Caenorhabditis elegans: one gene and its partner. The protein of the gene in region 1 interacts with the protein of each later gene in a biochemical or structural test. Each region holds a gene or a part of one and is shown in the gene's direction. Other genes may lie near its edges.

Evidence for each region. Proteins that work in one complex are often made in the same cells at the same time.
Region 2: the proteins of mec-3 (region 1) and unc-86 form a complex in vitro, tested with the Caenorhabditis elegans proteins (one study listed by BioGRID).

Annotation. Positions count from the first base shown.
Region 1 is NC_003282.8:10,458,283-10,463,819, reverse strand, and holds mec-3 (Mechanosensory protein 3), read left to right. Parts: upstream 1-1,952; 5' UTR 1,953-2,053; coding exon 2,054-2,131; intron 2,132-2,526; coding exon 2,527-2,577; intron 2,578-2,718; coding exon 2,719-2,834; intron 2,835-2,884; coding exon 2,885-2,957; intron 2,958-3,258; coding exon 3,259-3,510; intron 3,511-3,582; coding exon 3,583-3,696; intron 3,697-3,739; coding exon 3,740-3,953; intron 3,954-4,662; coding exon 4,663-4,730; 3' UTR 4,731-5,004; downstream 5,005-5,537. UniProt on the Caenorhabditis elegans protein: Transcription factor. Specifies differentiation of the set of six touch receptor neurons (TRNs).
Region 2 is NC_003281.10:8,212,202-8,218,035, reverse strand, and holds unc-86 (Transcription factor unc-86), read left to right. Parts: upstream 1-1,699; 5' UTR 1,700-1,739; coding exon 1,740-1,793; intron 1,794-1,905; exon of another isoform or gene 1,906-2,049; intron 2,050-3,268; coding exon 3,269-3,405; intron 3,406-3,464; coding exon 3,465-3,816; intron 3,817-4,254; coding exon 4,255-4,529; intron 4,530-4,652; coding exon 4,653-4,763; intron 4,764-4,807; coding exon 4,808-4,952; 3' UTR 4,953-5,290; downstream 5,291-5,834. UniProt on the Caenorhabditis elegans protein: Transcription factor required for correct cell fate determination and differentiation in diverse neuronal cell lineages where it plays a role in specifying the fate of daughter cells during cell divisions. Involved in sensory neuron production and function.

The DNA of each region.
Region 1 (5,537 bases):
TCGTTTATTTTGTTGTTTGTAGATTTGGGTAGATCTTCAGTTTATATGATCTTCGATTGTGCTATTTTCGGATTTTTATGGATAAAAATTACATCTTAAAACTCTCGGAATAAACTATCAAAATGAGGAGCGATGTGTTTTTTTTTAATTTTGCCCTGCAGGTACCCGGAGTAGTTGGCGAAGATAGAAATGGTGTTATCTTATATAAATTCAGACTTTCTCTGTTAAAATTTTAACCACCAAAAAATATAGAATTTATAAAAAGTTTCATTTTGAAATTTTATCTTTTGGGGCCATTTCACTACCTTATCAGGAAGAAATGTGTTTCATCAGAAATTGAATTTTTCATCTTTTCAGAAAGTGTACCTAATACCGTATCATGCTCATATTCACGTGAATAAGGCTTCTGCCCAGTTCTGTGATTCAAGGAAAACTACGAAAAATGATCTCATTTTCTTTGATTTATCACCGAGCTGGTGTGTCATCACACACAGTCTGTTTCTTGATAAAAACGCGCAGAAGTTAGAGCATTCATTGTGATTTTGGGTCTTTAATTTCTGTAAAACAAATAAAGTGACAAGTTTATCATCTGCCTATTTTATCAGTTATATGCATGGTTAGTTGCAAATAAGGGAGTAGAAATTGACTAAAACTCAAAATGAGCACTGAAACGAGGGGTTTTGTTAGTTGCGAAATAACAATTAATACAATCTGGTTGATTACTTTGTAAAAGGATAATAAAATATGCAAAACTTGGCGTATTCTGAGATTTCATTCCTAAAGACATTTATCAAAACAAATGTTTTCTGCAATTTTCTAAATTCTTGGAATTCTGCCCAGCAGCCTCTAATATCGCGTTTTACTTAGAAAATGACTTTTGGTTTCATTTTCTCATTTTCTGGCTTCTATTTTTCACAAATGCAAATATTTACATTTAAATTAGTACTTTCATTTCTACAAAGATCAAATTTAACATTATTGACAGGTTTACTGTTATCTTGTGACAGTTCCGTACTGTCAATCAAAACGAAAATTAAAACTCATGAAATATCAATGAACATAAATTGAAAAAAAAACCCAGTTGAAAGGAGAAAATAAGCGAAACACACCAACAACTGAGTAGTTACGCTCACAATTTGGAAATGATTTTGAAAACTCTCTGGACTGCATTTCAATTTTTAACAAACAATGAATACATACTGATAGTTTTTGTACTTCTCGGCATTCAGAGGCAACTTCCTGCCAACAACCTGGCAACTTATTTAGTGCCACTAAAATAAGTTGCCAAATTGTTGGCAGGAAGTTGCCTCCAAATGCCGAGTTGGAGCAAATGATTCGATATGATTTTAAGGATACCTACGCATGCCTCCTGCCAAGACACGCACCCACCTACTGAAATGTCGCGGAATTTTACCTCCCAAACTATAGATTGGGTGAAACTTCACTGTAAAAGCTTTTTTTAAGTAGTAGGCTGGCAGTAATGAAGACGTCCATACCATAATTTTTAATGTTGTATAGAAAATCTGAATTCTCAAGTATAACATTTTCCAATAATTAGCATAGTCAGAAACTCTCCACCGCCGTTCCGTTCCTTTTTTTTGTAACTATGGAGTAATAGAACAAGATTATTCAAATTCAAATTTTTATAAAACTTTACAACGTCCTTTCCATATATTCTTCACACAACATTTGAAAAAACAACAAATTCATTCGAAATGCATTGCCCATAATGAATCGACCGAAAAACACAAGTGACCGTCAGGAGATCGATAGAGAGAGCCCGTTCCAACTAGACAACTTTTTAGTGCTTATCCTTACACACACTTTCTAGCTTCATAAGAAATGCATCTATTATCGTCACCATTTGGAGACACCAGTTTTAGCGCACATTAATAATCGATCAGGGTCTAGAGACTCCTGTTGGATTGGCATGCCACGCCTACATGACATCTGGCTCTTGACGGGTGATTTGTTACAGTGAGTAGCCACAATTTCGCGCATTTTCTTCTAAATTTCACTGTTATTTGTTCTTCTGATTTATTTCATTTGAACTATGGAAATGTTAGAGTCAAAGCCTCTCAGTGCGATTAGTATGGTTATTGATTCAATTGGAGTTGATCATGAAAATCAGGTGAGTAATTAAACTTGAGCAGTTGTGAATTTCATCAGAAAACAATTTTTCTTTAAAAAAATTTAAAAGTAACAATTTGAGAGTCAGAAAAATGAAATTAACATCAATCGAAAACTTACATTGCATTTGCTTGAAAGTTTTTACAAAGACTTCTGCGTGTCAAGAAATTCCAATTTGAAATTTATACAAAATCCGCACGAGGGAAAATTTCTGTTCGACTTTCAGAGAGTCAAGTAAAATTACCGCATCTTCTAAAAATTCTGAAAGTTAGATTCTGAAAGTCAATCGTGTAAACTTTTGGTTGGTATTCATTCTATTTTCCAATCTCATTTTATCGATACGATCTCTAGTGAAACTTGTGTCTAACATTCTATAATTTTTTTAAATATTTCTAGAACAAATGTAATTGCTGCAATGAGCAAATTTATGATCGTTATATTTATCGAGTAAGTTTGCTGATGTTTGTGGATTTTTCAAACTTTCTTTGCTTTGCTTCTGTAAACAGTCTGCTCAAAATCTTGAATATTTTTCTTTTGCTTCTATAGTTCGAACAACATTTCAAGATTTCAGCCATCATTTATTTTCAGATGGACAATCGATCGTATCACGAAAATTGTGTCAAATGTACAATATGTGAGTCTCCTCTGGCCGAAAAGTGTTTTTGGAAAAATGGGAGAATTTATTGTAGTCAACATTATTATAAGTAAGCTTTAGCAAAATATTCTTGGAATTAATAAAAATACATTATTTCAGGGATCACAGTATTCATCGGTGTGCGGGTTGCAAGAAAGGAGTGTCACCGACAGATATGGTATATAAACTGAAGGTATTAAATTGGGTCAGAATGTTTAAGAAAACATTAAACTTTGAGCGAACCTATACAAAAAGTTGTCAACTTTTTATCAATTAAATTTTTGACTACTTTTGTATAAACAGTAGGAATGCCCGAAAGATTTCAAAAAGCCTACAATTTCAAATTAAAAAAAAAACCAAAGCTTTGACTAATAGTTTTGAAAGATGTAATCATTTTTTACGCTTTGCTCTTTGCTCTGACGGGATCCTGCTAGACGCACAAGCATAGAGCTTGGGGCTTTGATCGGTAAAGTTTGACTCAAAGAACTTTACAGGCTGGGCTCGTGTTCCATGTGGAATGTCATTGTTGCTCTTTGTGTGGACGGCATTTATCACCGGGGGAACAAATTCTTGTTGACGATACAATGATGACCGTATCCTGTATGTCACATTATCCTCCTCAAATGGATGACAACGCACCTGGAGCAATAGGATCTGCAGTTGATATACCATCTTGTTCGACAGAAAATCCAATTGCCCCATATCCAATTGATGAATCTTTTTCATCAGCTTTCCAAGTTAAAAAGGTATACTTTATTTTTCGTTGAAAGTTTAAAGGGATTAAATACCGAATAATGTACTGCATATTTAATTTTTAGGAGGTTGACGCTTATGGATACAACTTTGAGCATTATAGCTTTTCCGATTTCTGTGATGATGATTCACGAATGCTAAAAAGACGCGGACCTAGAACGACAATCAAACAAAATCAGGTATACAATGTAAGAAAGCGGAAATTTTCATAATGATTTTCAGTTGGACGTGCTGAATGAAATGTTCTCGAATACACCAAAGCCGTCGAAACATGCTCGAGCCAAATTGGCATTGGAGACCGGTTTAAGCATGAGAGTAATTCAGGTTTGGTTCCAAAACCGGAGAAGTAAGGAACGGAGGCTCAAACATTTGTGCAATTACTTGAGACATTATGAGCAACGTGGGCTCATTCCTCCGCCAATTCATTTTAGAAATGGTTAGTTTAAAGATTCAATCTGGAAAACGCAGTAATAGCTCTGAAATTTCAAAAAATAGATAGTGACTAGTAAACATTTTAACAAGTTGTTTTGTTGCATAAACATTAAGTTTGACACTAAAACTTTTCAAATCGGACTTTGTTCATAACTCAGATCCGAAATCTCTAAGCAAATAATTTATATAGATGAAAAAAAACTACCTTCTTTCGTGGCGATAAGTGCCTGTTTCGTGCCTACACATATGCCTACCTACTGTCTTAAAGCATGCGTAAATCTATTCCGTTCACTGAAATTCCGGCTATAACTGAAAACTCCATTAAAACTCCATAAAACAGGCAATAGATAGGCGCTTAGGCAGGGAAACATGTCTCACGTTTCTCTAATTTTCTGTATTTAAAGTTTCTCAATCATTCATTTTTGATTGTTCAAATCTATTTTCATAGAATTTTTTCTTCGAATTTCATGATGTTTAATTATTGAGTAGTTTCCCTATAATTATATATAACGCGTTTCCAATTATTGTCTGTTGTCTTGTTCGAAAATCTAAGCAACACTGATGTGGCAGTACACCAGAATACGCACAGAAAGCAAAAATCCAGAAAAGTTTGAGTTGCCACGTCATAAATCACAAACCAAATGGCTTGGCTCTTTCGAACTTTTTGCTGCTCTTGCATTCTTGTTTTTTTTTATTCTCTTTTTTCATTTCAGAAGAAATGGACACAACTGACTTCAACGCGTTTTGCGGAAATTTCGAAGAGGAAGATGATGAAGATTGATGAAGATTTTTTTAATTTTTAAAACAATATATTCCATTTATATATATATATTTCATAATGTATTTTCCTTCCCAAATCTTGAATTTCATTACATGTTTGCCAAAACTTGTGTTCTGAACTTGTTCAAATATTCACGTTTGCGCGAATAAGTAATTGAATGTCAGTCGATAATCTGATCTCAATGATTCCATTTTTAATTGTCCATGAATCATAAAATCACGAAATCTTAAAAATTCTCACACTTTGTCTCGATTCAAAAATAATCCTAAATGCTACGTTTTTGTGTTGGGTTTGTTGGTTTAAAAACGAGAAAATTTTCAATTATTCCGTCACCTTGATTGAAATAAGATTTGTTTTCCTCGTAAAAGAAAACGGTTCAACTAGCTGGTTTTCAAAAGATTTTCGAACCCTTGTAAAAGACTTATGTAACTCTATAATTAATGTTTCCGTCAAAGAATTGTGTAAATTGTATAAAAATAGTTTTAAAAATTAATGGAGGAAACTTCTTGAAAATTCAGCATTAAAATATAGTAGGTGTGTTTTTTTGTCAACGCCTTCGTGATACCTATTCCAATAACTAAATAGGTTTTTGCTACGGGTTGTAGTTCCTCGGAAAAAGAAACAATTTAATTTACTGAGCTAAGTGAACTATTTCCTCGCAACTTCCACACTTTTTCTTTCCTTCCCCAGAACGAGAAAATATTAGTTTTACCTGTAATTACTAGCTTATTTTCCAACATCTAAAACCAGCCCCCTTGAAGTACAATTAGCCAATGACGCACACGTTTGAGACTTTCAGATCAAAGG
Region 2 (5,834 bases), on another chromosome or scaffold:
CAAAAAAAACATATCTGCTAAAACTTATGATTAAATTTAAAATTTGAATTTGAAAACAAGTTCATTCAAAATTTCTGAACTTTAACGAGTCAGTATCTATAATTTTTAGAAGTAGAATCACCTTGCAATCAGTTATCAAGATTTTAACTGTTATGGGGTTATTCAAGTATATAAAAACATGTATTTAAATACATGTTTTTATATACTTGAATACAGTTGTGAAATAATTCTTCTACACTTTTTAATTTTCCGACACTACTTGAATAACCCCATTACGGCAGTTAAAATCTGATTTTTTTCTAAATAGAAAAGCTACCCCGAATAAATACAAAATAAACTACCCCATTATTACACAAGAAATAAGAAAACACGGGACCCATCTCATTCTCAACTTTTTTGACCAATCATGAATAAAATACATTCTCAATCCCTTCTATTTTTCATTATTTTTCTTAAAAATCCGACAATTTCTGTCTCCGATCGTAGTCTCTTTTCTTTCTTCTTCTTCCCACACCTTATTATTAATGTATGACTCTTCTGCTCGGGCATCGGCGGGGCGACAACGACGAAGCTCATGTGTCTCTTCACATCCATCCTTTTCCTTTTTCGTTTAACCTCCTTCGTTTGTTTGATACGGTAGTATGGGAAGAAAAAAGAAAAAGAAAAAGAAAAAGATGGAATAAAAGGGAAAAAGAACAAAAACCTCGATGTGGGTTACTGGAAAAAAAAAACTGAATAGAATAAAATGTCGATTGGAAGGATTACTGTAGGTAAAACTTGTGACGTCATTACAATCTAACGTCTAACGTCATTACATGAACGATGTTTTTTGATGATAAAAAAAGCGAACAATCGTAGCCTGCCTCGTGCCTGCTTGCCTACTTGTCTTCCTACTTATGTTTCAGATGAAGCTATGCGACACGGTGGAGCTGGCCGCTCCAGATAGAAGCTCATAAACGATTTTAACAACAGGGGAGTCTCAAGCTTTCTGATTTCAAACCGTATTGAAAACAGCTCGAAAAATAACTGCCAAGAATAGGGGAAAATTCAGCGAATTTTTGTAAAGTCAATTTCAAATTTTACAGGAACTTCAAGGTTGAGGATCCAAGTTATCAACATGATGTTTTAAGTTTTCAATGTTTTCTTAAGAATAACAGTACGATTTTTTAAAGAATCACTGTAGTTTGACATTTACGAAACTGAAAATTTACGAAAAAGAAAACTTTAAATTTTAAGTTGCCAGCTTGAAAAGTAATCGAAGTTGGTTATTTCCAAAATGGACCACTTCAGTTTTGATGGTAAATATAGTAGCAGAATTCAGAATTCCAGCTGTGGAAAATGCATTAAAATTATTTTTTTTTTTTCTAAAACGAAAAGTTGAAAACGAATGAAAAAGTGAAATTGAATGAATGGAGAAGGCACATCGATTCCGTTTGCCTTTTTGCTCCTTCTTTCCCGTCCCTCTCCTTGTGTCGGTTTTAATATTTCATCACTCCGCTCCATTTTTAATTCAACTCTTTTTTCCTTCCCCCCTCTTCAACCCCCTTCTCCGCCCTTCCAAAATCAGTAGAGGTTCTGAAAATGGGGCGTGCACTAGCCACAGTACCCTCCAACGGACCAGAAAAATCATCCAATGGGAGCTGCCTAAAAGGGGTGGAGACCAAGACATAGGGGACCCCCGACCCTTCCGTATACATCTGTCTCCTCCCAGCTTCAAGGTCCCCCTCTTTTCCACGGACATGCAGAACACCGCACCCGTACCGACGACGACAACCGCTTCAAAAATGCAACCTGTAAGTCATAAATCTCATTGTTCGATTTGATAAGTATGGCTAAACCCATTAGACTGTTTAGTGTGAGCTCTAGAATAAGTAAGTCTCCCAGTTGACTTTCCATACGTTACGGATTTATTCATTGAATTGTTGATTAGAGACTCGGCTCGTTTTTATCAAATATTCATTCTTTGTATGTGTGTCTACTTGCAGGGGTCCCCCGCCAAGCCTTATTGAATATTAAGTTAAGTGAATTTTTAGGTAGGTCACTCTCTCTTTCCCTTCATCTCGTTCACAGTGAGCCACACACGTATCTACTTACTCCTCACACTGTTTTGAACCGTCTTTCTGTTTTTCATTTTTTGTTAGTTTAACTGTAAATTGTCGACATATGTAGACTGTCAGTTTCACTGATTCAAATTACATTTCACCAGGCTTTTTCTTTAGAATGATCCAATCATATGATAACGTTACGTCAATCACATTATTTTAAAAAAAAATTATGGTTTTGCTGGAAAGGAAATTCTGAACCATTTTTTCATTGGCCTAGATTTACGAAAACGTTTATTTCCTCTATAAAAGTACATATTTTAATTTGTACAGTACAATAATGAATAAATATTCTAAAACAGCCACATTAAGAGGGATACACTCGAACTTCGCTGATTTTTTAAAACAATCAGAAAATGTCATTTCTACTACTGATGAACAACACTGCTTGCTGATTTTTATGTCAAGTTTCAATGGATTTCTACAATTTTGAATATTGATTTTCAAAGATATTTTCACTTTTAAATTAAGCTTTGCGATGATTTTCTTAAAATCTCCAGAAAATATATCAACTTTGTATGTAATTTATTATCAGTTGTTAGCATAGTAGTAGGTCATAACATTACTGGTTTACCTGGTTCTGAGTAGTTTCCAAATAAAAATTCTAGCAGCCCTATTTCATGGTAATCATATTTTTTAATTAGTCTAATTAATATTGAGGCACTTTATTTAATTGTTAGAGTTTGCTAGTAGTTTTTTTTGACTATCTAATCTCATTTTAAATGACTGAACTCTAAATACCCCCTGTTTAATAATTAACTCCGTCCTCCATTAATTTTTCAAAGAGGAGGGCTTCTACCACGGAAATAGTCACATGGATTGTTCTATCAGAAATTTTTTGCCGTTCATTTAAAACACTAAGTATCAATAACAGTATATTCATAAAAGATTTTTTAAACGTATTTAAAACACTAAAGATAAATAGAAACGAGATTTGAATATTTCTCAATGATTTCACCCTAGTTATTGACTACACATTTAGGTCGTTACGTGTTATATTCATTGTGTTTCAGTTCAGGATAACAGGTGAAAATTAAAAATAGAATGAAGTATTGACGTACGAAAAGAGTTTAAAATTGTCTCCTCCCCCACTTTAGGTTAAATGTTTAAAACACTCTTCGATACACCTCCCCTATTCCTAATTCATGAAGATTCTTGAATTTCAGTTCAACAACAGTTTATTTGGATCATTCGATGACCCAATTCTCAATGCAAGAGCTGCACAAGTTGCCCTCGCTGATATTGATGTTAAAAATGTGCCGCAGTTGACAAATCCACTTATGAGACCACATGATATGTTCAGGTAATTTTCTTTTTTTTCACTCTGACCATCTTTCAGGACTTCATTCTATTTATTTTCAGCTATAGCAACTACTTTTCGGGAATCCACGACACATCCGCCGCCACAAACATCTACCAAGGACTCCCAAGCTCTTCAGAACCATTCGATGCATCTGTAGTTGTGCCAACATCCTCAGATGATCAAATGACACCCTTACAACAAGTAATGGCAATGCAACAATCATATGGAGCACCTCCACCATTTCAATACAATATGACTCATCCATTTTCAACAACATCCATTGCCAGTTCTAATAATCTTGCTCGTTACCCAATTGCCCCGCCAACTTCAGATATGGACACTGATCCGAGACAATTGGAGACGTTTGCAGAGCATTTCAAGCAGAGAAGAATAAAATTAGGAGTCACACAGGTTAGTATAAAAGGGTTGACAACTGGGTGTTAACTCTTATATTATCTTAATTATCTTAATTATCTATCTATCTTAATTATGAGTAAACTTTAGGTTTTTTGAAAAACAAAAACGTTCGGGAGTACGTAGCCACTTCTCAATCTACTTAGGCTTCTGCCACCTTACAAACAATTATCACCAACTTATATTCTGCTAAATTTATCTACATATTTCAGTAAAAGCCACCGGAGAAATGGCTAGTTTGTTGAAAAGTAGGTAGAATTAGATGAGAAATAACAACTAATTGCCAAGTAGGGCTACGTATGTACATTTTTAATTATGTTTTTAAATACAACAAAAGTAAGTTAGTTCAACTTTAGTTTCAGAATGTTATACATATATTCCAATAAAAGTGATTGCAATCCAGAAATAGTCCAAAAGTTAATTTTAATACTTCAGGCGGACGTTGGAAAAGCACTTGCTCATCTGAAAATGCCTGGTGTCGGATCATTATCCCAGTCCACGATCTGCCGCTTCGAATCTCTCACCCTTTCCCATAACAACATGGTCGCACTGAAACCAATTCTACATTCCTGGCTGGAGAAAGCTGAAGAGGCTATGAAACAAAAAGATACAATTGGAGATATCAATGGAATTTTGCCAAATACTGATAAGAAACGGAAGAGAACTAGTATTGCTGCTCCTGAGAAAAGAGAACTAGAACAGTTTTTCAAGTGAGTTTGAGTAGGGGAGAGTATAAATTCAAAATCATACATGCTAAAATTATGTTAAAATTAAACAAATTTGCTTTTCACTCAATACTTTAGAGATCAACGAATCAAAACAAATATTTCCAGACAACAACCAAGACCATCTGGAGAACGAATTGCCTCAATTGCCGATCGATTGGATTTGAAGAAAAATGTTGTTCGCGTCTGGTTTTGCAATCAACGGCAGAAACAGAAAAGGTAATATTTAATTTTTTAGCAAGACTTATCAAATAAAATTTCAGAGATTTCCGTTCCCAATTCCGTGCAAGAAGTGCAGCAGCAGTAATGGGTCCACGTGTGATGCCAGTTTTAAATGGAAATAATTCAAATAATAATCTGAAACAGGGTCAGACAACATACAATGGGCTACCTGGATTCTTTGATTAGTTTCGTTTTCGTGAACACATTTTCCCCGATTTTTAGAGTTTCAGTTTTAATCACAATGGGTATATTTCTTTTTTTTTTTGAATTTATAATCTCTCCTTCTCTGATGATGAGGATCGACCACTGAAAATATTCAGTGAGCTTTTCTTATTTTTTTAATTGTTTTATTTGAGCTTTCTGATGTCTCTCTTCCCCTTTTCGATGTTCCTCAACATTTTTAGCGACAAGATCTCTATTTTTGAAGTATTGTTTTCCATTCTTTCATGACTTTTTCTCAAACATCGAATCATTCCAGATCAATGAAATGCCTCGTAAAATAAATATAATTCATTTCTAAAAAACTAAGATATTTGTTTTTCGGTCTCATAAATAAGGGTTTAGCAATTCGCTTTGAAAAATTGCTTTTCTATAAATACAAATTTTCAGCTGATGCCAATTGTCTACGTCTATGAGATTATTTTTATCGATGAAATTAGTAAATTTATTAGTTTTAAAATAGAAAATTTTGGGTTTATTATTTTCATTTTCAAACTAGCAATTTTTATAGCTTAATCCTAAATGAAAGTCATCAGTGGCATTCTACAGATGCGCGATTCATGTATTCTCCGCCTCCCTTTTCGGAGACCTCCCATCACCTCGCGGCCTCTTCCACTGAAATTGCTTCGGAAAAGTGAGAAGTGCGAATGAAAGACGAGAAAAATACACAAAACTATGTACATAAAAATGTTTAATATCGTGTAAGTACTGTGACAACAAAGAAGACGAAGCACGAAGAGGGCGAGTAAAGAGGCGATGGAGAAGCGCCTCCGGGAACAGACTGTAGCTGTTAAAGATTGTCTAGTATTAACTAACACCAAAGCATCTTCGTTTAATTCGGCACTTTTC